2 linked regions of the Oryctolagus cuniculus genome follow. The protein of the gene in region 1 purifies or fractionates together with the protein of each later gene. This does not show direct contact. Links are inferred from orthologs where the notes say so. Each region holds a gene or a part of one and is shown in the gene's direction. Other genes may lie near its edges.

Region 1 (10,670 bases):
CGCTGCAGGTCCAGGTAGCTCACCCGGCGTTCTCCCCGGCACCCGCCCCTCCTCGCGGGGCGTGTCCTCCATGACCCCACCCCTTCCGGAGAGCCGCACTCTGATTGGCCGTGACCCGTACGAAAGCTGGCCAATCGCGTAGGAGCAGCTGCTGCAGCGTCTCTGCGTGCGGGAGGAACATGGCGGACCGCCTCACACAGCTGCAAGACGCCGTGAACTCGGTAGGCGCTTTAATTCGCTTACTTGCGGTCTGCCTCATTCCTGAGGTAAAACGGGGGAGGAGAAGAGGCCCGAGACGCAGCCTTCGGCGGTGGCGAGCAGATGGAGGCGGTGCCTCTGCGAATTCGGGGCGTTCGAGGCCGGCCGCGGGGGCCGCGGAGGGAGCAGCCCCTTTGCCCGGCGGCGGCCTCACGGGGCTCGCCGGACACTGGTGCTGGGGGCGGGAGGAGAAGAAAGCAGACGCGGTTCTCTGCGTATACCTCGGCCCCGGGGCCCTGGAGACTGCGTCTCGGTGCGACGCCTTAGCCGGGCTCCGGTACTTCGAGGGGCGGGAGCAGGAGCGGTGGCGCCTGGAGAAGTTGTGTTCGCTCCCTCAGGCGGGGATGGCGAGAGCTGACGTCTGGAAGCTTGTGAACCTTGTGTCGGGCGTTGAGGTCCCTGGGTTTGAGAAGCGGCTCCCCTGGCGTTGTCCCTGGCGATGCTTTGCACCTGAGAGTGCGTGCGAGCCCTAGGCCCTGGGCTTGGAGCGGCCGCTGGCTGCCCTGCCTGCTGGGGCTGCTGTCCCCGGGCGGGTGCCTGGGCGGGCACTGTGATTGTTCACCCCCCAGCCCTTGAAGCTGACGAGCCGAGCGCTTGCAGAGCGCCAGCGTGCTGTGAACAGCGCGGGAGCTTGCGAGGCTGAGCGGGCAGCCACCGAGTGTGGGTGACATCCTGCCAGGCCCTCGGGGAGCTTCTACACATGCTGGTGCTGGATGGAAGCCTTCCTTCGTGGCCTGGCCCCTGGAGGCGAGGCAGGGCGGAGGGAGTGTGGCCTCTCCCCCAGGGGGAGGCCTGCTGGTAGCTGGGGTCTCCAGAGAAGCCTTCAGGGTACGCCATGAGCGCCTGCTGTGTCGGAGCCCAATCGTAGTTCCAAAGGGACAGCCTGAAGGGCATAAGGATGATGTCACATACTCAGGGGACGTTTAAATGATGTAAAAACACTATGGGGTTAGGGAGTTAGAATGAATGCGGTGTTTTCAGCTGTCAGTGCTGAGTAAATTGGAATATGGAGCCATGCGCCCTGAAATACTGAATTATCGTAATCGTAATTATTCATGTCGTGTTCACCATATTTGTGTTACGGCTGTTAGGTTTATGTTCGTTTCTTGCCGTGGAGTTTTTTTCAATCACTGTTTGTTGAATGAACGTCTAAATGGATCTTGAAAGCTTGTGAGGGACAGTACAGATAGCCACTGTGTTGAAGGGTTTTTTGTGCGTTTCCGCTGTTTGTCCGGTTAATCAAACCAGGATTAGAATCTAGGTTTATATAGCTTCCAAGCTCTTCCCCCTCCATTGCAAATAGCAAACCAGCAAACTGATAACTAGCGAGTAACTGTGAGGGAGTAAAATGTGAAAAATGTTTAGGAAGAGCTGGCTGAGATTATTATTGAAAAGTTGGAAACCGCTTGCTGACCGCAGTGGAGTGAGCCGGCGGTTTTTGTGCAGGGGGGAATACGATGGGTAACCAGAGAACAGTGAGGGCGCGATTGCAGTAATTCTGGCAGGAGGTAAGTGATGGAACAGAAGGGGGAGAATGAACCATCCGCGGGATAGGAAGCTGGAAGGCATGAGGCTCTGGAATGAGACTGGTTGGCTAGGACGCTCTCAAGACCAGTTAGATACTTATCCGGGGAGCAGGTGACTTCGAGTCCGGCCATTGCAGTCATGGCGGAGAAGGGCGGTGGAAATGCTTCCTCACTGATGGGAAATAGGACTTGAGGTCTGAGAGGTCAGGCCTAGTGAGAGGATTGGTGGGGAGCTGTGGTCCCTGGTTGAAGATGGTAAGGCACTGGTTTCTCAGTCTTGAGAGCTGCTGAAGGAATACTTTAACAACGCGAGCCTTAGCACTGCATTAGAAAAGGCACCTTATTTCCCCTATTTCTTTGCCTTGTGAACACTGAGATCTCAGAAAAGGAATTGTATATGAGTAACACTTTTTTAAATTAAATCTGGGGCCATACGTGGAAAGTCTCGTTGCCTGTAATATTGGCACAAAATTGTCTTTATCATTCTGTTAGCTTCAGAAGACAAGAAAGATGATACAAGTTTGCATGGGCTGCAAAATTTTTTTGCATAAAAATATATTGATCTTTTAATTCCATTTTTACTGTCTCATCTAGATTGATATCAACACCACCTAGGTTGATACTAAGTTTATTTGCATGGTTGAAATATCTAATCATTGTTAACACACTGGCTTGTTTTATCCGAAATTACTCCTTTCTGATTCACTCCCCTGCTCAGAGAGCATTGTTTTGGGAAACTTGTTGCCATTACCAGCAAAAGCTTTAGACTTGATAAACTTTGTATAATCCTGACCTGTTTTCTCTGGCCCAAGCTTGCAGATCAGTTCTGTAACGCCATTGGAGTGCTGCAGCAGGGTGGGCCTCCTGCCTCTTTTAACAACATTCAGACAGCCATTAACAAAGACCAGCCTGCTAATCCCACCGAAGGTAAACAGCTTTTCTTGGCTTCCCTTTATTTGATTCTCGGACTTCGTGTAATCCTTTAAATTAGATTTATTTAGAAATTCACTCTGTTGCTTCTTTATACAGATGTTACTGAGGTACTACTGGACGTTTTGTATGTCATACCAGAAATTATTTATTGTAGTTAACTTGCATAATACCATAATTCTTCTTGTGTCATACCAGATTGGTGCCCTTGGAGAGAATTAGGAATTTGGCTGAACTTTACTGACGGACCCTGATAATTAGGGCATCCCATGTACAGATTCATTGATTCTAGTGTCTTCCATATTATCCTAATACATGAAGTGAACATGCCTTAGGCTTAATTCTCTGAGCCTGTATTAAGTTAAATATGTAACAGAACTGGTGCCTTGAAATTGATTTTTTTCTTTTAAATATTTCTATTTGAAAGGCAGAGTGATAGAGAGTGAGGGAGAGACAGAGAGCATGAGAGATACCTTCCATCTACTGGTTCATTCCCCACAGGGACATAAAGGCCGGGACTGAGCCAGGAACTCCATCCAGGTCTCACACATGGGTGGTAGGGGTCCAAGTACTTGGGCCATCTTCTGCTGCTATCCCAGGGACATTAGCAGCGAGCAGGATCAGAAGCAGAGGAGCCAGGACTTGAACCAGCACTGGGACATGGGTTGCCAGCATTACGATTAGTGGCTCAACCCAGTGCATCACTACACTGACTCATTAAAATAACACTTTGATCATTGGAATTCTAATATTAAAAAGTTAGGTGAAGTTTCCTGGTTTCATTAACTTGAATCTAATTTTCTGTTTGTGTAAACCCGAGATTTTCTCATACTAATTGAGTAGTCTTTCTGCAGAGTATGCCCAGCTTTTTGCAGCACTTATTGCACGAACAGCAAAAGATATTGATGTTTTGATAGATTCTTTACCCAGTGAAGAATCCACAGCTGCGTTACAGGTAACAACCTTTTTTCTTAGAGAATTTTACTGGTAGCAGAGAATTTTGAATTGAAGGAGATAGATTTATTGACTTTCATTGTAATATTCAGAACTATTTTATGATTATTTTTAAGGATTTACTCTTGGATTTACTTGAAAGACAAAGTCAGAGAGGGAGCCGGAGACAGAGATACCTTCCATTCACTGGTTCACTCCCCAAATGGCCACCACAGTCTGGCCTGGGTCAGGCTGAAGCCAAGAGCCTGGAATTCCATCTGGGTCTCCCATGTGGGTGACAGGAGCCCAAGCAGTCATGTGGGATGCTGGCATTGCAGGAGGTGGCTTAACCAACTGCATCTCACAACACTGTCCCCATACTTTCCATACTCTAGTTCACTTCCGAAATGATCACAGCTGGACCAGGCTGGAGCCAGGAGCTTCTTCCGGGTCTCCCATGTAGGTGCAAGGGTCCAAGGACTTGGGCCATCCTTTGCTGCCTTCCTAGGCACATTAGCAGGGAGCTGGATCTGAAGTAGAGCAGCCAGAACTTGAACAGGCGCCCTTATGGGATGCTGGTGTGGCAGATGATGGTTTACCGTGCTGCGCCATGATGTCAGCCTCTAAGATGGGCGTTTCACTAATTCAGTGCTAGTATTGTCTGTTGAAGATTGTGCTGAATAGCTGTACAGTAGTTGTCCAATTTTGAGTTAGAAGGAAACCTTGTATGTTCTGGTTTATCTTTTTCTAGCAAAGAAGGAAAGGATGGTGGCTTTCTGAACGAGGAATAAAATAATGGATAGCAAAGGCAGTTTGGAACAGAGTCATACTAGATAGTAAGATCTCTTGAAAATCCATTACTTTATAATCATATGGAGGAACTTAAGTTACCTCACTTTGAGAATTTCTCCTATTAAAACTGTATCACTGGTTGCAAAATCACCGAGATTTAAAAATAAATACCTCTACTGCAGTCTCTTCTCCACTCTAAAAGATTGTCAAATTTATGTCTTAAAAGGCTGCTAGCTTATATAAGCTAGAAGAGGAGAACCACGAAGCTGCCACCTGTCTGGAGGATGTTGTGTACCGAGGGGACATGCTTCTGGAAAAGATCCAAAGTGCACTCGCTGACATTGCACAGTCCCAGCTGAAGACGAGGAGCGGCACCCACAGCCAGACCCTGCCGGACTCATAGCACCGGCACGTGCCGGCGGCTAAGAACTGTCTCAAGGCCATTAAGAATTCTACCTTGGATTAAATGTCAGCCTTACCAGCAGTTACAGAAACGTTAAACGTTATGACATGTTTTACCTTTGTAGCTGTTTTTAAAATCTTCTATTTTTACTCTTGATAAACAAGCATATAAAGTTGTGATTGAACCAGCTTTAAACTATCAGTTTTTTTTTAATCTGAGATTACTAAGGCAGATACTGCATTTGTGATCAAAATACAAATAAACATGCACTGTTCTTTGGTGACAAAGTTTGTATGTTGTTTAAAACTCAAATTTCTGTAATAGTCCTGGGGCCAGCACTGTGGGTGGCAGGAAAAGCCACCGCTTGCAGTGCTGGCATCCCATATGGGCACTGTTAAGAATCTGGGATGCTCCTCTTCCGATCCAGCTCTCTGCAATGGCCTAGGAAAGCAGTGGAAGATGGCCCAAGTCCTTGGGCCCCTGCATCTGCATAGGAGACCCAGAAGGAGCTCCTGGCACCAAGCTTTGGATCCACCCAGCTCTGGCCATTGCAACCATTTGGGGAGTGAACCAGTGGATGGAATACCTCTCTCTGTCTCTCCTTTCTCTCTGCCTCTCTGTAACTCTTTCAAATAAATAATCTTAAAAAAAAAAAAAAATCGGTAGTCCTTTCATAAATGAAAACAACCCTGAAGCCAGAAGAGACATTCTCAGTGCAGAGATGGATCTTTCAGTGGGCTGGTATCTTTGCCACTATGGAGGTGGCATTGTATAAATTTGGAGCTTTGAGAAAGGAAGTTTCTGAAAATTTGTCAGTTCTCAGAAACCCAAAGTGTTAGTGTGGCCGGGTGAGAGTAGGTCACACTGAGGCAAACCTTTGCTCTTGCAGAACCTCATGTCCCTTTGAATTCACCTCCACGTTTGCTTTGACTGAGAAAGCCTTGACTCAATGAAATTCCCAGGCTGCTGTGAGTTTTCTTCATCCTGATTGGCTTGTTCTCTTTATCTACAGGCCTGTATTCTGCTCTCATTACCCCCCCCCCCCCCCCCGCTGTATTTTAAGAGGGCCATCCTCCCATAGCAGTTATTTCAGAGTTGTTTTCTCCATCGCTCCTCAGTGTGTCAGCATGTCAGCTACAGTGACTGATGCAGCTCTGGGGTCTCCTGCAGTCCACGGCTTCTGCCCAGAAATCTGAAGTTGAAATATCTTCCACACTGTCCTGCCTCTGTCTCAGAATCTCTAGGACTTCACTTGAATCCGTTGCTATCCAGAGCTGGCTCTGCCAGAGAACCCTCAAGATGGTAGTCTGCTGCAGCAGGCTTCCCCACAGCTCTTGAGAAACAAGGCATTTCAAATGCCGAGAACACCCACTTTAGCAGCAGAAGTGGCGGCAGTTTATTGCTTAGGCATAGACGGTCTGGACTTTGAATCTTTGCAGGGTGTTACGATGGAAGCTTACTAGAAATACTTAGTGGGGTGGATGTTGTGGTGCGATAGATTATACCACCCACTGGGATACACGGACTTTGTATTGGAGTGCCTGGGATGGGGTCCTGCCTCTGCTTCCAGTCTAGATCTTGGCTAACAGGCTTAGCCAAATACTTGGGTTCCTGCTACCTTTGTGGGAGACCTGGTTCCTGGCCTGGCCCTGGCTGTTGAAGGAATCTGGGGAGTGAACCAGAGGATGGAAGATCTCCCTCTCTGTGTCACTGTACCTTTCAAATAAATTCCTAGGGGAAAAAAAAAACCACTTTACTCTGCCAGGCATTTAACATTTCAAAGTAGCTATTATAAACATTCTCTAGTGAACACTCTTCAAAGAAGTAAAAAGACAAAGTCTTAACTGAGAAATAAAAGATACAAAGAGGAAAATGGAAATTTTAGAATAAAAATACACAGTAACAAACTCACTGGTTAGTTCAATAGAATGAAGATATACGTATAGGGGTGGGGTGCGGGACAATGCTGTGGTGCAGTGTCGCTCCCCGTCTTCGTGGAGGAACGACACAGGACCCTGCGCTGTTCTTTCGTCTGCTCAGCCCTCCCCGGGTTTGCTGCTGGTTCTTCCCGGGTTGGCTACTGTCCCTTCCACCTCCGTGGAAGGGCAGTTCCCCCTAGCCACATTCCCCACTTCTGCAGGGGAGCGGCACACCGCCGGCCGGCTCTCTGGGGGCTGCACAGGTGTTCCCCTTAGATGTTCCCCATAGATGTTTCCGGTGCATGCCATCTCTCTCCTCCTTTATAGTCCTCCTCCGCCAATCCTAACTCAGCTGCCCACACGCCGAGTACGCTGCTCTCCAATCAGGAGCAAGTCCTACAGTTTATTGGTTGAACTGGAGGCAGCTGCGTAGAAGCTGTTTTCTCCTCTCCCAGCGCCATATTGTGGGAGAGCAGATGCATAGAATAAGTCTTAATTCCAGTAACAGTATAGTCCGAGCTGCTCCCCACAGTGCAGCAGATTAAGCCGCCACCAGCAACACCAGCGTCCCATATGGACACCATTTAGAGTCCCCACTGCTCTGCTTCCAATACAGCTCCCTGCTAATGTGCTTGGGAAAAGCATAGGAGGATGGCCTGAGTAATTGGGCAACTGCACCCACATGGGAGACCTGGATAAAGCTCCTGGCTTCTACTTTGTCCTGGCCCAGTCCTGTCTTGTGGACATTTAGGGAGTAAAACAGCCGATGGAAGATGTCTGCCTATCCTCTCTCTCAAACAGATAAAACTTAAAATGATGTAAAGGTGACATCAGTGAACTGGAGGACAGATTGAGAAACTACCAACCTAAATAAGAGAAAATAAATTGAAAAAAAAAATTGAGCAAAGCCTCAGGTACCTATGGGACAATAAGAAAATACAAATATCTAATATTCACACGAGGAGAGAGAGTGTAGAGCTAAATAATCATAAAAAAAAAAAATAACCTGAGTGAAAGCACAGCCTATATATGCAAGAAATTCAGCAAGACCCCAAGCCAAAAACAAATGTGGGCCGGCGCCCTGGGTTCTAGTCCTGGTTGGGGCGCCGGATTCTGTCTTGGTTGCTTCTCTTCCAGTCCACCTCTCTGCTATGGCCGGGGAGTACAGTGAAGGATGGCCCAAGTCCTTGGGCCCTGCACCCGCATGGGAGACCAGGAGGAAGCACCTGGCTCCTGGCTTCAGATCAGTGCAGTGCACCGGCCATAGCGGCCACTTGGGGGATGAACCAATGGAAAAGGAAGACCTTTCTCTCTGTCTCTCTCTCACTGTCTAATTCTGCCTGTCAAAAAAAATAAAAATAAAAATGCGAAGAAGTGTACACTCAGGTGAATCATAATCAAATATCTGAAAAGTAAAGTCGTTGAAAGCGACCACAATGAAGTGACATGTTGTCTGTAAGGGAACAAAGGTTCCAAAATAACAGTATATTTCTCTGCAGAAACCAGAAAGTTCAGAATGAAGTAGCACATTTTTAAAAGGTTTTATTTATTTGACAGGCAGAGTAATGGTGTGGGAGGGAGAAAACATGAACAAGCAAGAACAGTCTACGTGTTCACTAAGTGCCCACAACAGCTGGGGCTGGGCTAAGCCTATGCTAGAACTGAGGGACTCCAACTGGGTCTCCCATTGTGGGTGGCAGGAATCAAAAAACTTGGGCCATCATCTGCTCCCAGGCACATTAGCAGGAAGCTAGATTGGAAATGGGGGCAGGATCTAATCCCAGGCACTCTGATATGGGATGCAGGCATTGCAAGTGGCATGTTGTGCCAAAACACCTGCATATTTTTTTTTAAAGATTTGTTTATTTCTTTGAAAGGCAGAGTTATAGAGACGGAGAGCAAGAGCAATGTCTTCCATACACTGGTTCACTCTCCAAATGGCCACAATGGCTGGAGCTGGGTCAGTCGGAAACCAGGAGCTAGGAACTTAGTCCAGGTCTGCCATATGGATAGCGGGGACCCAAGCACTCAAGCCATCACTGATTGCTTTCCACAGTGCACATAACCAGGAAGCTGGAATTGGAAACGGAGCCAGGACTTGAGCCCAAGCATCCTGATATCCCAAGTGGTGATTTAACAGCTAAACACCTGCCCCAAGATTATCTACATGCAGAAGCATTTTATTAAATGCTCTAGGCAAAAAAGAGACAAAATGTTTTGATGTATAAAGAGTATTTGCAAAACTATGACAAACATTCTGAAAGATCAAATGCGTTCCTTTTAAACTTGAAAACAAAGGTAGTTGCTATATCCCCATGTACTACAGGTAAGCATGAAAAAGAAATTAGTAAGATTTTTCAAAAAGAAACCAAATGTTTACTGTTTAAAGATGGTATTTATACAAATGGAGAAAATCACAGAGATTCCATAGATAAGTTTTGAGAAGGTTATTGGACATAAAACCAATGTGCAACATGGCAGCAACAAGAGGCAGGAAAAACACATATTAAAAAGCATTTTCAGGGCCGGAGCTGTGGCTCACTTGGCTAATCCTCCGCCTGCGGTGCCGGCATCCCATGTGGGCACCAGGTTCTAGTCCCAGTTGCTCCTCTTTCAGTCCAACTCTCTGCTGTGGCCTGGGAAGGCAGTGGAGGATGGCCCAAGTGCACCCACGTCGGAGACCAGGAAGAAGTACCCGGCTCCTGGCTTCGGATCGGCATAGCTCCAGCTGTGGAGGCCATTTAGGGGGTGAGCCAATGGAGGGAAGACCTTTCTCTCTGTCTCTCTCTCTCTCACTGTCTAACTCTGTCAGATAAATTAAAAAAAAAAAAAAAAGCATTTTCAATTGCATTAAAAAAAAAAAGATCAGAATAGACCAATGTGATTTAAAAATGGGTACATGACCAGAACAGAAATTTCTCAAAAACAAAAAGTACAAATGACTAATAGATATGTGAAAAAACTATTCAGAATCACTAATCAGGGAAATGTAAATCAGTGAGATGGCCTCTCTCCTTTTAGATGGCTGTCATCAAAAAGATGAAAAGTCATGAGCGGGGTTTGTGGTGTGGTCGGAATGCTGGCACCCCCTGTGAGCGCTGGTTTGTGTCCCAGCTGCTCTACTTCCTGCTAACGTCCTGGGAAAAGCAGCGGAAGATGGCCTAAGTGCTTGGGCCCCTGCCATCCACGTGGGAGACCTGGAAGAAACTATGGCGCCAGGCTTTGGCCTGGCCCATTCCCAGCTGTTGCGGCCACCTGGGTAGTGAACCAGCAAATGGAAGATCTCTGTTTCTCTCCCACTCTCACTGGAACTCTGGCTTTCAAATACATAATTTTTTTCTTTTTTAAAAAGGGAAAAATCACATGCTAAGGAGGATGGGGAGAAAGGGAAACTCATGCACTGTTGGGAATGCAAATTAGTACAGCCTGCAGCCGCTGTGAACAGTATGGCAGTTCCTCAAACCACTCGCAACAGAACTGCGGTATGATCCAGCAATCCCACCACTGGGTGGGTCTATGTGGTTACTTCAAAAAGTTCATGACAAATGTAACTAAAACATAAATTTATTTTGGATGCAAAACAGTCTTTGAAATCCCTATTAAAAATACTATGTGTAGATTTCAAAATTGTTTTGTACCAAAATAAATTTGTTTTAGCTCCATTTCCCATGCACTTTTTGAAATGCCCTTGCATACTCAAGGAAACTGAAGTCAGTATGTCAAAGACAAACCTGCACTCCCATGTTTACTGCCACCCTATTCACAACAGCCAAGACAGGAAATCCACCTGGATGTCCACAGACAGATGAATGGAAAAAGAAAATGCGAAAAAGAACAGTGGTTACCAAAGCCTTGGAAGAGTGAGGGGGACAGGGGAGCAGAGGCAACTGTTAGTGGGTACAGGAAGCA
Region 2 (11,147 bases), on another chromosome or scaffold:
GAAGTGGAGAAGCCGGGACTTGAACCAGTGCCCATATGGGATGCCGGCACCGTAGGTGGCGGCTTAACCCGCTATGCCACAGCGCTGGCCCCCTGACTCTAGGTCTTTACATAAGTATTTCTTACTCAGCTAGGACTTGAGTAAGTTATTGAAGCCCCGAAAGCAAGGTTTATATTGAGAATGTGTGTTTATGTTAGTTACTCTGATCACAATGGACTAGATGGGGATGGGGTGGAGGACAGAAATAGCTAGCTACATTTGAACTCCTTGAAATAGCTCTGGATTTTATCTGGAGCTTCTGACTGGCTGCAAGTTGCTTGCGTTTCTATAGTATCTTATATTGGACTGAGAAAACATCAACTGCCTGTATCAAAGAGTGAGGGGAGGGTGTTTGGAAAGTGTGGGGTAATCCAAACCCGTCAGGTCCGGGTGTCTGCTGCGAGTCTACAAGCTCCCCATTCTTTCCTTCGGGATGTAGCTCTGGTAGCTCAGCTATAGAGCGGGTAGAAGCTGACTCTGATGCCTACCACACTGCCTCCTCAACAGCCAGAAACAAAACTTTGCAACCATTTTATATGTTCGTAAATAAGTCTAAAGGGAAGAGAGGTGTCTTCAAATTGGGGTGCTGGAAAAGGGAATTGAGTTTCGAACTTAGAGCTGTCACTTAATTTGTGCCCTGGGAATATTTGCTCCCATTTTTGTGCCTCTGTTTTCCTATAGGCAAAACTGGGAATTATGAAAGGTTTTCAAAATTTGTATAGATAGCATCCTCATCACCTCTGTTGTGGATCTTTGGGAGAGAAAGAGAGAGAGAGTGAGTGTGTGTGTACATGAATGTGCCTTATCCTAACTCCTACCGCTTCTGAATACACAGGTGAATGGCTGCGGAACGTCCCAACCTGCACACACAGCGAAATCCCGCCAAACCCAGGCGCTGACGTCATCCCCCAGAACTTCCGCCCCTTCGCGCTCCCCCGGGCGCCCCCTTCTCCTGGTCCGTGTTCGTTTCCGGCGTTTCAATAAAGCTCGATTCGCCTCGAAGAAGACTTGTTCTTCCGGGAAAATGGCGACTCCCGCTCGTGCCCCGGAGTCGCCGCCAGCCGCGGATCCTGCGCCAGCGGCGGGGCCTGCTGAGGACGCCGAGTGCCCGCCGCCTCGCCAGCCTCAGCCCCCGCAGAATGTCCTTGCTGCCCCGCGGCTTCGAGCCCCAAGTTCCCGAGGACTTGGGGCAGCGGAGTTTGGTGGAGCTGCGGGAGATGTTGAAGCGCCAGGAGAGACTTTTGCGCAACGAGTAAGCTGGGGTCCCTCCGAGGCACAGCCCGACTCCTAGGGTTGGGGCTCCCGGGGACGCCCCCTGCCTTCCACCGCCCCGCTCCCTCCACTGGAAGGTGACCTTGCCTCAGTGCGATTCGTTTCGGTCCCGCGGCCTGCAGCCGCAAAGCCACGCCACGTTCCGGCCGCTGCTGCTGCAGCTCGTGGGGGTGGCTCGTGTCCCCAGCGGCTGCTTAGCGTGGAGCTAAGCTGGTCCGCCAGCCCCTCGTTGGTTTTGTTTACTCAGTTCCCATGTCGGCTTTGAAGGGAAAGCTTGTGTCCCAGATAACCCTGTTCTCCCGCCCCGGGCCTGGCGCCGAAAATCTGTTGCCAGTTTTCTCTCTCGATCCTTTCCTTACGGGAACCGGTGAGGAATGAGAAGAGTGAGATGTAAAGAACGGTTTCTCAGGCCGAGAACTTGACTCCCATTCAGCTGGCAGACGACCCGGATGGTTAGCAGGGGCGCGAAATGACAAAAGGGGTGTTTGAAGGGCAGTTTCGTGTTCAGCAGCTCGGAGCAGGATGGCTTGACGGACTAAGAGGCGGAAGACCCCAGGAGGATACTTTTAGAGAGGTTTCCTGCAAGGAGGTCGCAGGAAAGTGAACTGGGACGGCGGCCGGCCGTGGGATTGGCAAAACTTTGTCAGGCAGGGATTAAGATGGCTGAAGTTTCCCATGTGTGAGGAGAGCCACCAAGAGAAATAGAAAAAGTGAGGGGAGGGAGTAGAGGCAAGGTTGATTTGTACTTCGAGTGCATGGAGTTGAGAGGAGAGCAGGAGAGAGGGAAGGGGAGGTGGAGGGGGTTGGGGAAATTGGGGAATCTTGAATGCACTGAGTTGTTCATAGGTAGTTGAAACTGAAAGCATGAATGTAATGTCAGAGGAAAAAAAACTACTAGAGGGTCTCAGATGTAACCTCGCCCCTTATGTATTGTATGGCCGAAGAAAAGGAAATTAGAAAAGAAACTTATGTCACTTCCAAAAAAGCAGTCACTTGAGGGTCTTTGTAGTAGACAGGTGTTGCTGTGACATTGTGAGAATGGCAGTGAATTAACATTTGGGTGTGAAGATCTCCTTATACTCTTATTTAAGAGCTGGGCATGCCAAAGAGCTCTTGTTTTTCGTGAACACATGAGCACACATTCCACTTCAGAGCCAGGATGGTGTCACACATCATGTGGCTTCTGGAAAAGTTCACCCTACCCCTGTGAGAACTTGAGAGGGAGGTGGTAAATAACGCTTTAGTAGTGTTGTTGGAATAATTCTGACTCTGCAGGCCCATTCCCCCAGCAGGTTTTGGAGATTACATTTTAAAAACTATGAATTTGGGGGATATCTTGTATGATAATCACACAGGTTAAGTCTCCCCTATCTGAAATGCTTAAGACCAGAAATGTCTCAGATTTTGTTTTTTTTTTTTTTTTAAATTGTCTTTAATATTTGTATATTCATAATGGGATATTTAGGGATGAGACCCAAGTCTAAACACAGTTCATTTATGTTGCATATGCTCATAGCTTGACTTTTAGACAGGTTTTTATTGTACCTGCATTTTGACTACAATTGTCACATAAGGTCAGGCATGGATTTTCCACTTAGAACATCATGTTAGTGCTAAAAAAATTTTCAGATTAGAAGTGTTCAGCCTGTATTCTTCAAGTCCTTTTGCCAAGATTCTAAATAGAAGAGACAGATGAGGCCTATATTCTCTGTTCTTCTATCCACTTGTTTTCTAAATGTATTTGGAAAATTGTTGTATTGTTTCATTCCTGTTTGGGAGCTGGTAAAAATCAGACATTAACTTAAAAATCAGTTTGCTCCCTTGGAGGATGGTGCTTTGTCTGTTAAGTGTTACGCCTCAAGTTTAAAGCCATGGCCCTAATGTATACCTGTTCTTTTCCATTTGACAGAAAATTCATTTGCAAATTGCCCGACAAAGGTAAAAAGGTCATAGACACCGTTGCCAAACTGAAAGCTGCCATTGCAGGACGTGAAGAGGTTAGAGGGAAAAGTGAACTCTTTCATCCTGTTAGTTTAGACTGTACGCTAAGGCAAAAAGCAGATGCAGTTGATGTGGACATACATAAGGCCCAGAATTCTGACCAGATACTTGCTACGTCATCACTAGTTCCTGGCTGTTCCTCTGTAGATAACGTCAAGTCATCTCAGACAACCTCACATAAACAGGGACTTGTACATCCTCCTCACAAAGGTGAGGAAGAGACTCCAGAGGCTGAGGACCCAGCGAACAAGTGCCCAGCTTCCAGCAACAGCAGTGCCAGCGTGCTTTCCTCGGCTGAAGCCAGAGAGCATCTCCCTCAGCATAGTGTTTCAAGTCAAGTGGAGGACGTTTCCAGCAGCCTTGACAACCTGTTTATTGATAAGTTGCAAAGGATCACAATTGCAGACCAGAGTGAACATCCCTCAGAAGGATACACGAGGACTGAGAACTTGACTGAGAACGTGACGGGCTTTGGGAGCGGGACTCAGAAGAAGCCTCATTACATGGAAGTGCTAGAAATGCGAGCCAAAAACCCACTGCCCTTACCACATAAATTTAAAACCAATGTGTAAGTATCGTTGGAAACATACTAGCACAGGAACCTAATATTTGTTCTACCCCCAAACTTGGGAGGCTGCCATAAGCACATTTGGCTTCCTTTGAGTGCTGCTTGTGGTTAGAGATGGGGCATATTATGGAAGCAGTGAGACTAGCCTCACTGGAAAGAGGATTCTTGTTGAAAAATACTTTTGTTTTTAAAGCCAAATAATTGAACAGATTTTATGTTGGTGGGGGAGTATTAAATTTCAGGATACTTAGCCAGTATTTCATAATAAACAGAGCTAAGGAGAGAATTTATTGATTTTTTTTATTAGAACCAGTTTCTGGTTACTGCTCCCCCTTTGATTAGTCTGTAAGGGCAAAGCAATGCAGGAAGTGATGGACTCTCAGCAAAATTGTACTTGTACTTGTGTGTTCATGCTATATGTAGGCCTCTGGTGCTGTGAGGACACAGTGAAATAGTTTCTGTTACTCAGTCTAGGATGCTGATGAGGAATCAAGGTTTACATACCTGGTGAAAAAAAATCAAAGTATATAATAATAGTTTCAGTGGGAAGGGAGAAGAGAGGAGGATAATAAACTGTGAAAACAGATTCAGGCAGCATGGGCAAAAACCTTGCTTCTGAGTTTCTTGCCATTGTTTGGTTTTTGAGATCTCCAGGAAAAAAACCTCTTTAAGAGAAAATAGTAGGTAATTACTTGTAGCAGGTGTAACGTCCAAATCGGCAAGTAGTGGCTGGTTCATGCCTGTTTCCAAAGATGGAACATCAGATCCAAACTCAAACTATCACTATACTACTTTGAAAAACAAAATCTTTAGCTAAAAATATCAAAAAGGTGGTTTTTTTGTGATTTTATTATTATAAAGGGACTTGAATGAACTTTCAGCTTTATCCTACCTCACTCTTTATTTGTTTTTAACATCAAATCATCTTATTTCTGGTGTGTAAGAAACTAAAACTTTAAATTTTAGTAATAAAAAGTAATCTGTGAGTAATCTCTCATCTTGTATGCAGTGAGGTATCTTTCTTCATTTCTATAAGGACATTTTAGAAAATCTAGTCAATAAATAAAAGATATAATGATCCTGATTATGTATTATGATCTTGTTGGGAGCAAGAGAGAGATAAGGAAATAATAATGAGGGCCTCTGAAGGTTAAGGAATTTAAAGAGAAGGAATTTTCTGTGCAGTTAGAAGAGATCAGGAAAAGCTAGGCCTTGATGAGTCAGTAGGCCATAAATAGGCAGGGAATGGGTGGCTTCCATGTGTGAGCAGTGCCTGGGAGTTTGGACAGTGGATGAGGTTGTGTCCTTTGGCACCTTCTCCGCTTTCCTTTGGCTTCAGAGACAATTTGAATGCCAAAAGCTGCCTTTTATCTACTTTTAGTCTAAGTCTTGCTAAAACTTTAGATTTGTGTGGCATGTTATCTATAAAACATGACCACTTGGGTGTCTGTGACAATTCAGGTTTTTCATGTACAAAGTGAAACTCCTATTTATATCTAAACTGACTTTCCTCCCATAATCTCTAGGTTATAGTGCTGCCATATCTCTCTGCCCCATCCCCTCTACTACCTCCCAGGTGTCTTTTCTTTATATTTGCTAGCTGTGAAGATCCACATAATTTATTTCCTTAATCTTCCATCTCTATAAATGTTCTTATCTTCATCCCCTCCTGTCACAGTGAAGGTTTGCATCTCTTTTGAGCTATAGTTGTGGACTGTTCTTGCCTAGAGTCTTAACTCCCAGTTGTGCTTCTCCACTCCTGCCAGAATCAAACTTGTAATATGCAAATCTCTACCAGTTATATAGACTGTAACTCTTCCTTGTGATCTGGGCCCAGCCTACTTCCCAGCCTTCTCTTGCCTTTTCTGGCTTTTCCATCCTCTTACTTCTGTATGCTGCAGCCATGTTGCCCCTCACTCCTGGTGCTCGAGTGCTCTTCTCCCCCTGTTACATGGTGAGCACTTATTATTCCAAGGCTGTTCAAATTTCACTTTTTTGAAACTGGCAAACTCCTTGTCCCTTGCTAGAACTGGCCGCAACTGTGATAGGATCTGTGGTATTATATTTCACTGAAACTGTTTACATGTTTATTTTCCTCTTATGGACAGTAAGCCCTATAGCCAATGTTCTTTGAATGAATAAGTGAAAAACATAGCTTGGATTTGATGTAAGATTTTTTTTTTTTTTTTTTTTGACAGAGTGGACAGTGAGAGAGAGAGAGAGACAGAGAGAAAGGTCTTCCTTTGCCGTTGGTTCACCCTCCAGTGGCCGCTGCGGCCGGCACACTGCACTGATCCGAAGGCAGGAGCCAGGTACTTCTCCTGGTCTCCCATGGGGTGCAGGGCCCAAGTATTTGGGCCATCCTCCACTGCACTCCCTGGCCACAGCAGAGAGCTGGCCTGGAAGAGGGGCAACCGGGACAGAATCCGGTGCCCCGACCGGGACTAGAACCCGGTGTGCCAGCACCGCAAGGCAGAGGATTAGCCTAGTGAGCCGCGGTGCCGGCTTGATGTAAGATTTAAAGAGGGAAGGAAGAGGAAAGAGCTTGTGTGTGCTGTATGTATATACTCCTTGACCTATGATGGGGTATGTCTTGGTAGCGCATCATAAATTAGAAATACTACACCTAACCTACAGAATACCGTGGCTTAGTCTAGCCTACCTGCAGTGCTCAGAACACTTATATTCACATACCGTCGGGAGAAGTCATCAACATGTGCCTGTTTTATAATATAGTGACTACCTCATGTAATTTATTGAATGCCATACTGAGAATGAAAAACCAAATGATCGTATGGATGTACTTTACCATTGTTAAGTTAGGAGCTCACTTGCTCTATTAATGGGAAAATACCTGATTGTATAAGGTAAGTTTTCCCTCCTTTAGGTTACCTTCGCGACAGAGTGATTCGTCTAGTCACCGACAGCGGGGAGAGTCTCCTGTTGCCTCAGAAGAGCGGCGACGCAGGGACAAGCAGCATCTTGATGACATCACAGCAGCTCGGCTTCTCCCACTTCACCATCTGCCTACACAGCTGCTCTCTATAGAGGAATCTTTGGCACTTCAGAAACAGCAGAAACAGAATTATGAGGTATTTAGATTACTAATTTTTTTTCTTGTCTGTATGTTGATAGGTCAGAATTTATTGCAGGTAGTCAAGAAGGAAAGAATGCAGTAGAAGGGGTTAGGTGCTAGAGAAATGGTCAGCCATCCCATTGGCCATCAGTCATGTGCCTTTAGTTTACAAAGAGTCACAAAGTTGCTAAGACTTCTGGGAAACAGCTGGAGGTGATTAAGTCTCCCTCAGTATTACAAAGTGGTGATTTGCCAGGAAACATGGGGAGACTACTGCACAATTTTACATCTTAAAGCCCATTGCTGTACCACTTCTGTTAGGATAGGATAGCATTGTTCCTTTGTCTTTCACCTTCTAAATTAGATTCATTGGTAGAATCTAACCCAGAATCAGGGAACTGTAGCTCCCTGGCTTCCGTCTGTACAGTACCAGGGGAGTGCCGAGGAGCAGTGGAGGATAGCAGGTTGCCAACAGATGGTGGGACACACTGCTTACAGCATCATCCGCTTTTAGTGACTTAGTGTTAGGTAGTACTTTGTCCACTGCTCCATGTGTTTGACATAGAACTTTAAGTGGATGTTGAGAATATATGTATAGATTAATGGGATGGGAGAAAATGTGTGTAGACTATAGAGGGAATAGAAAATATTGATATACTTAGTGATAATTTGAGCTTCCAGGGAAAGTATCTTGTCTTACTTCCTAGATATTGCTTAGCTACATCCCCATCAGGTGCTGTGCACTAACTAATAGAAAACTAGGCTCTACTCTCCCTTCACTTTTCCTTTTTTTCTTTTTTTTAAAGATTTATTTTATTTATTTGAAAGAGTTACAGAGAGAGAGGTTTTCCATCTGCTGGTTCACTCCCCAGATGGCCACAACGGCCAGAGCTGAGCCGATCTGAAGCCAGGAGCCAGGAGCTTCTTCAGGGTGTCCCACACAGGTGCAGGGGCCCAAGGTTTTGTCCCATCTTCTGCTTTCCCAGGCCATAGCAGAGAGCTGGATAGGAAGCAGAGCAGCCGGGACTAGAACCGGTGCCCATATGGGATGTAACATTGCAGGCGGCAGCTTAACCTGCTATGCCACAGCGCCGGCCCCTGTCTTCACTTTTCTTAAAAATTCAGTTGTCCTGGATTGGTATTTTTGAAGCATTCTTTTTTTTTTCTTCCCCCTCAGATTTATTCATTTATTTGAAAGGCAGAGAGAGAGAGAGATCTTTGATCTGCTGGTTCACTTCCCAAATGGCCACAACGGTCAGAGCTGAACTGATCAGGAGCCAGGAATTTCTTCCGGGTCTCTCATGTGGGTGCAGGAGCCCAAGTACTTGGGCCATCTTTTACTCCTTTCCCAGGCACATTAGCAGGGGCTGGATTGGAAGTGGAGCAGTCAAGATTTGAACCAGTGCCCATATGGGATGCCAGCACTGCAGATGGCAGCTTTACCTGCAGTGCCACAGCGCCAGCTCCAGCACTCCTTTTTAGTAGTCACTTGTTTTCCCTTTTGGTGCATTAGAAGTGTCACCTACTTAGGACTGCAACATCAAGGAAATGTTTTTAAATTGTCTGTGGAATCATAAATGCCATCCTAAGATGTTTTTAGGTTAAATTAAACCCTGCAGCTTGAAATTAGCTTCCTTGCAAGAGACATTGTAGTTGCTCCCACTATACTTACTCTTAATATTCCTGGCCTGAGGGGAAGACAATAAAGAAGTTGAAGTGATAAAGGAAGAAGGAAGCATGAGAAAAGGGAGGAGCAAAGCCAGGAATGAGCATTGCCACCTGCCAGCAGTTGGTGGTGAAGCCCTTGCGTGTGTGCAGTAAGCACATCACCAGTGTCTAAAATTTATTTGGGCTTTTGTTGGATACTTGTTTCTGTAGGACTTTTTTTTTTTTTTTTTTAAAGATTTTATTTATTTATTTGAGAGGTAGAATTACAGACAGTGATAGGAAGAGACAGAAAGAAGGGTCTTCCACCTGCTGGTTCACTCCCCAAATGGCTGCAATGGCCAGAGCTGCTCCGATCAGAAGCCAGGAGCCAGGAGCTTCTTCAGGGTCTCCCACAGGGTACCGGGGCCCAAGAACCTGGGCCATCATCTTTCCCAGGCCATAGCAGAGAGCTGGATTGGAAGAGGAGCAGCCGGAACTAGAACCAGTGCCCATGTGGGATGCTGGTGCTGCAGGTGGAGGATTAACGTATTGCGCCATGGCGCTGGCCCCTCTGTAGGACTTTTCTTGGATAGAGGTAGTCATTTTTCAAGCATTAATTTCTTGATTTTCATTGTGCTATTGAAGTATAACTCTCAGGCCTAGAAGCTAAGATTTAATCTAGGGAGGAAGGCTCTGTCAGGGAATTCAGTACAGCATTGGAGATTTTTGACATTAGATAAGTCTCATTGTTTTGTATGTATACATGCATGTGCCCACAGACTTAATGTACCCATATTTGTAACTGTTGTAAAGTTAATTTGTAAAGAGGTAGGATATTTCAGTGCATTGTTGTTCGGTAGTGGACATCGGTTACGACAGCCAGCAGGCTGATAGGTCTCAGAAGCATTGCCCTTTGTATCTGTGGTGGGGTGCAGCCATCGGGCTCCTGCCATTGCTGCAGAGACCTCCAAGTGGGGTGTTACCGCCTCTTTTTTTCTGAGTCTGTTTGAAGAACTTACCATTGAAAAATTGTAAGGAAAAGTGTGAATGTGTAACTTTTTCCTTTCCCCTTTGTTTTAAAGGAGATGCAAGCAAAGCTCGCAGCACAAAAATTAGCTGAAAAACTGAATATTAAAATGCAGAGTTACAATCCAGAAGGGGAGTCTTCCAGGCAATACCGGGAAGTAAGGGATGAAGATGATCAGTCCTCCGATGATGAATGCTGAAGATGGGCATTGGGATCATCTCCTAAACCTCAGGCTGTTGAAATGTCATTATCTCACATCCTACTTTGTAAGCATCAAGATCAGTGTCAGACCTTGTTGAGGGAAAGAATTTTGTGAAGTTACACAACGGCAACTGTGAACAAAAGCCCAGTTTGTCTTTCAGATGACTTTCATGTGCTTGAAGTTTAATATTTGAAAACAGTATGTAACCACATTGTATTAAAGTTTTGCAGTATGTTGTGCATTGGTCTGATATTTGAGTGTATGATAAAACACATTTTTTTTCCTTTAAGCCAAATGAAAGATAATTTTATTTTTTAATAACTCAATCAAATAGGATTTATTACATGTCTTTCAGTGAAACACTTAGTTGTCCCAGGCAGCTAAAGTAAATTAGGAAGACATAGTTCCCTGCTTTTTTAAATAATGAAAGGATGAAGTCTGGAGAATTATGCATGTTTGCATGGAATTACTGAGATACTGGGTTTGAAATACCTAGGAAGATACTCAGAAAATTCTTAACAAATGTTTGTTTCCTTCCGTCTCACCTTAGGAAGAATGTTACCTTTCCTCTGATCAGGAATAAGTACTTTGAGTACATGCTGGAAGGTGGACGGTCTTTATAGGTGACCAGGTTTGCCTGGAGTACTATGAGATACAGGAAAAGTCCAAGCCGACTGTGCTTGCTGGGAGCAATAGCTCTTTTGTGTTTCACCTGATTGGAGTTCATTGCTCTCACTCATGATGGGTTCATTGTGTAGGACACTAATGTTTGGTAAGGAAACCAATAATTGTTTTTTAAAAGTTACAATTGTCAGTGTATTTTTTTTCTTCAAAGAGACATACATAGGCTGTAGAAACCTCAGTCTTATACACACACACACACACACACACACACACGTGTTCATGTCCTTTTAAGTGATTTTATGGTTGTCTCCAGAGATTAATACTTATGTTACAAAAAAAATTGTCTAAAATGTTGAAGCTTTTAAAAAATGTTGAAAGGAAAAATAAAATATTAGAGCAACTTAAACACTCATGGTTGTATTTTACTGGTATTTAGTTAAATTTAACTTCCTACTACAAAAGAGTGTTCATGTATGAGATTTGACTGAAAATATGTTTGATAGGAAGGGCTCAGTTCTATTTCGTACGCTTCCAGTTGTGGTAACTGCTCTCTGTCTCCCCTCTCCTCCTGGAAAAGCAGATGAAAAAAATGTACTGAGCTAACAGTCATAACTGTTTTTAATTTTTGTAAGTAATAACATGCTTTCACATAAAATTTGACATTCCATGTCAGTAGAATGAAATACACCTG

What was found.
Region 2: the proteins of MED21 (region 1) and POLR2M purify together in Homo sapiens (affinity purification with mass spectrometry; 3 studies listed by BioGRID and IntAct, with this or other methods). This does not show direct contact. The link is inferred for Oryctolagus cuniculus from reciprocal best matches to the Homo sapiens genes MED21 and POLR2M.

What each region holds. Positions count from the first base shown.
Region 1 is NC_091440.1:124,255,924-124,266,593, forward strand, and holds the end of MED21 (mediator of RNA polymerase II transcription subunit 21), read left to right. Parts: 5' UTR 1-179; coding exon 180-221; intron 222-2,596; coding exon 2,597-2,711; intron 2,712-3,568; coding exon 3,569-3,669; intron 3,670-4,665; coding exon 4,666-4,842; 3' UTR 4,843-5,501; downstream 5,502-10,670. UniProt on the Homo sapiens protein: Component of the Mediator complex, a coactivator involved in the regulated transcription of nearly all RNA polymerase II-dependent genes.
Region 2 is NC_091443.1:80,572,141-80,583,287, forward strand, and holds POLR2M (protein GRINL1A), read left to right. Parts: upstream 1-972; 5' UTR 973-1,178; coding exon 1,179-1,291; intron 1,292-3,220; coding exon 3,221-3,880; intron 3,881-6,767; coding exon 6,768-6,972; intron 6,973-9,685; coding exon 9,686-9,829; 3' UTR 9,830-10,862; downstream 10,863-11,147.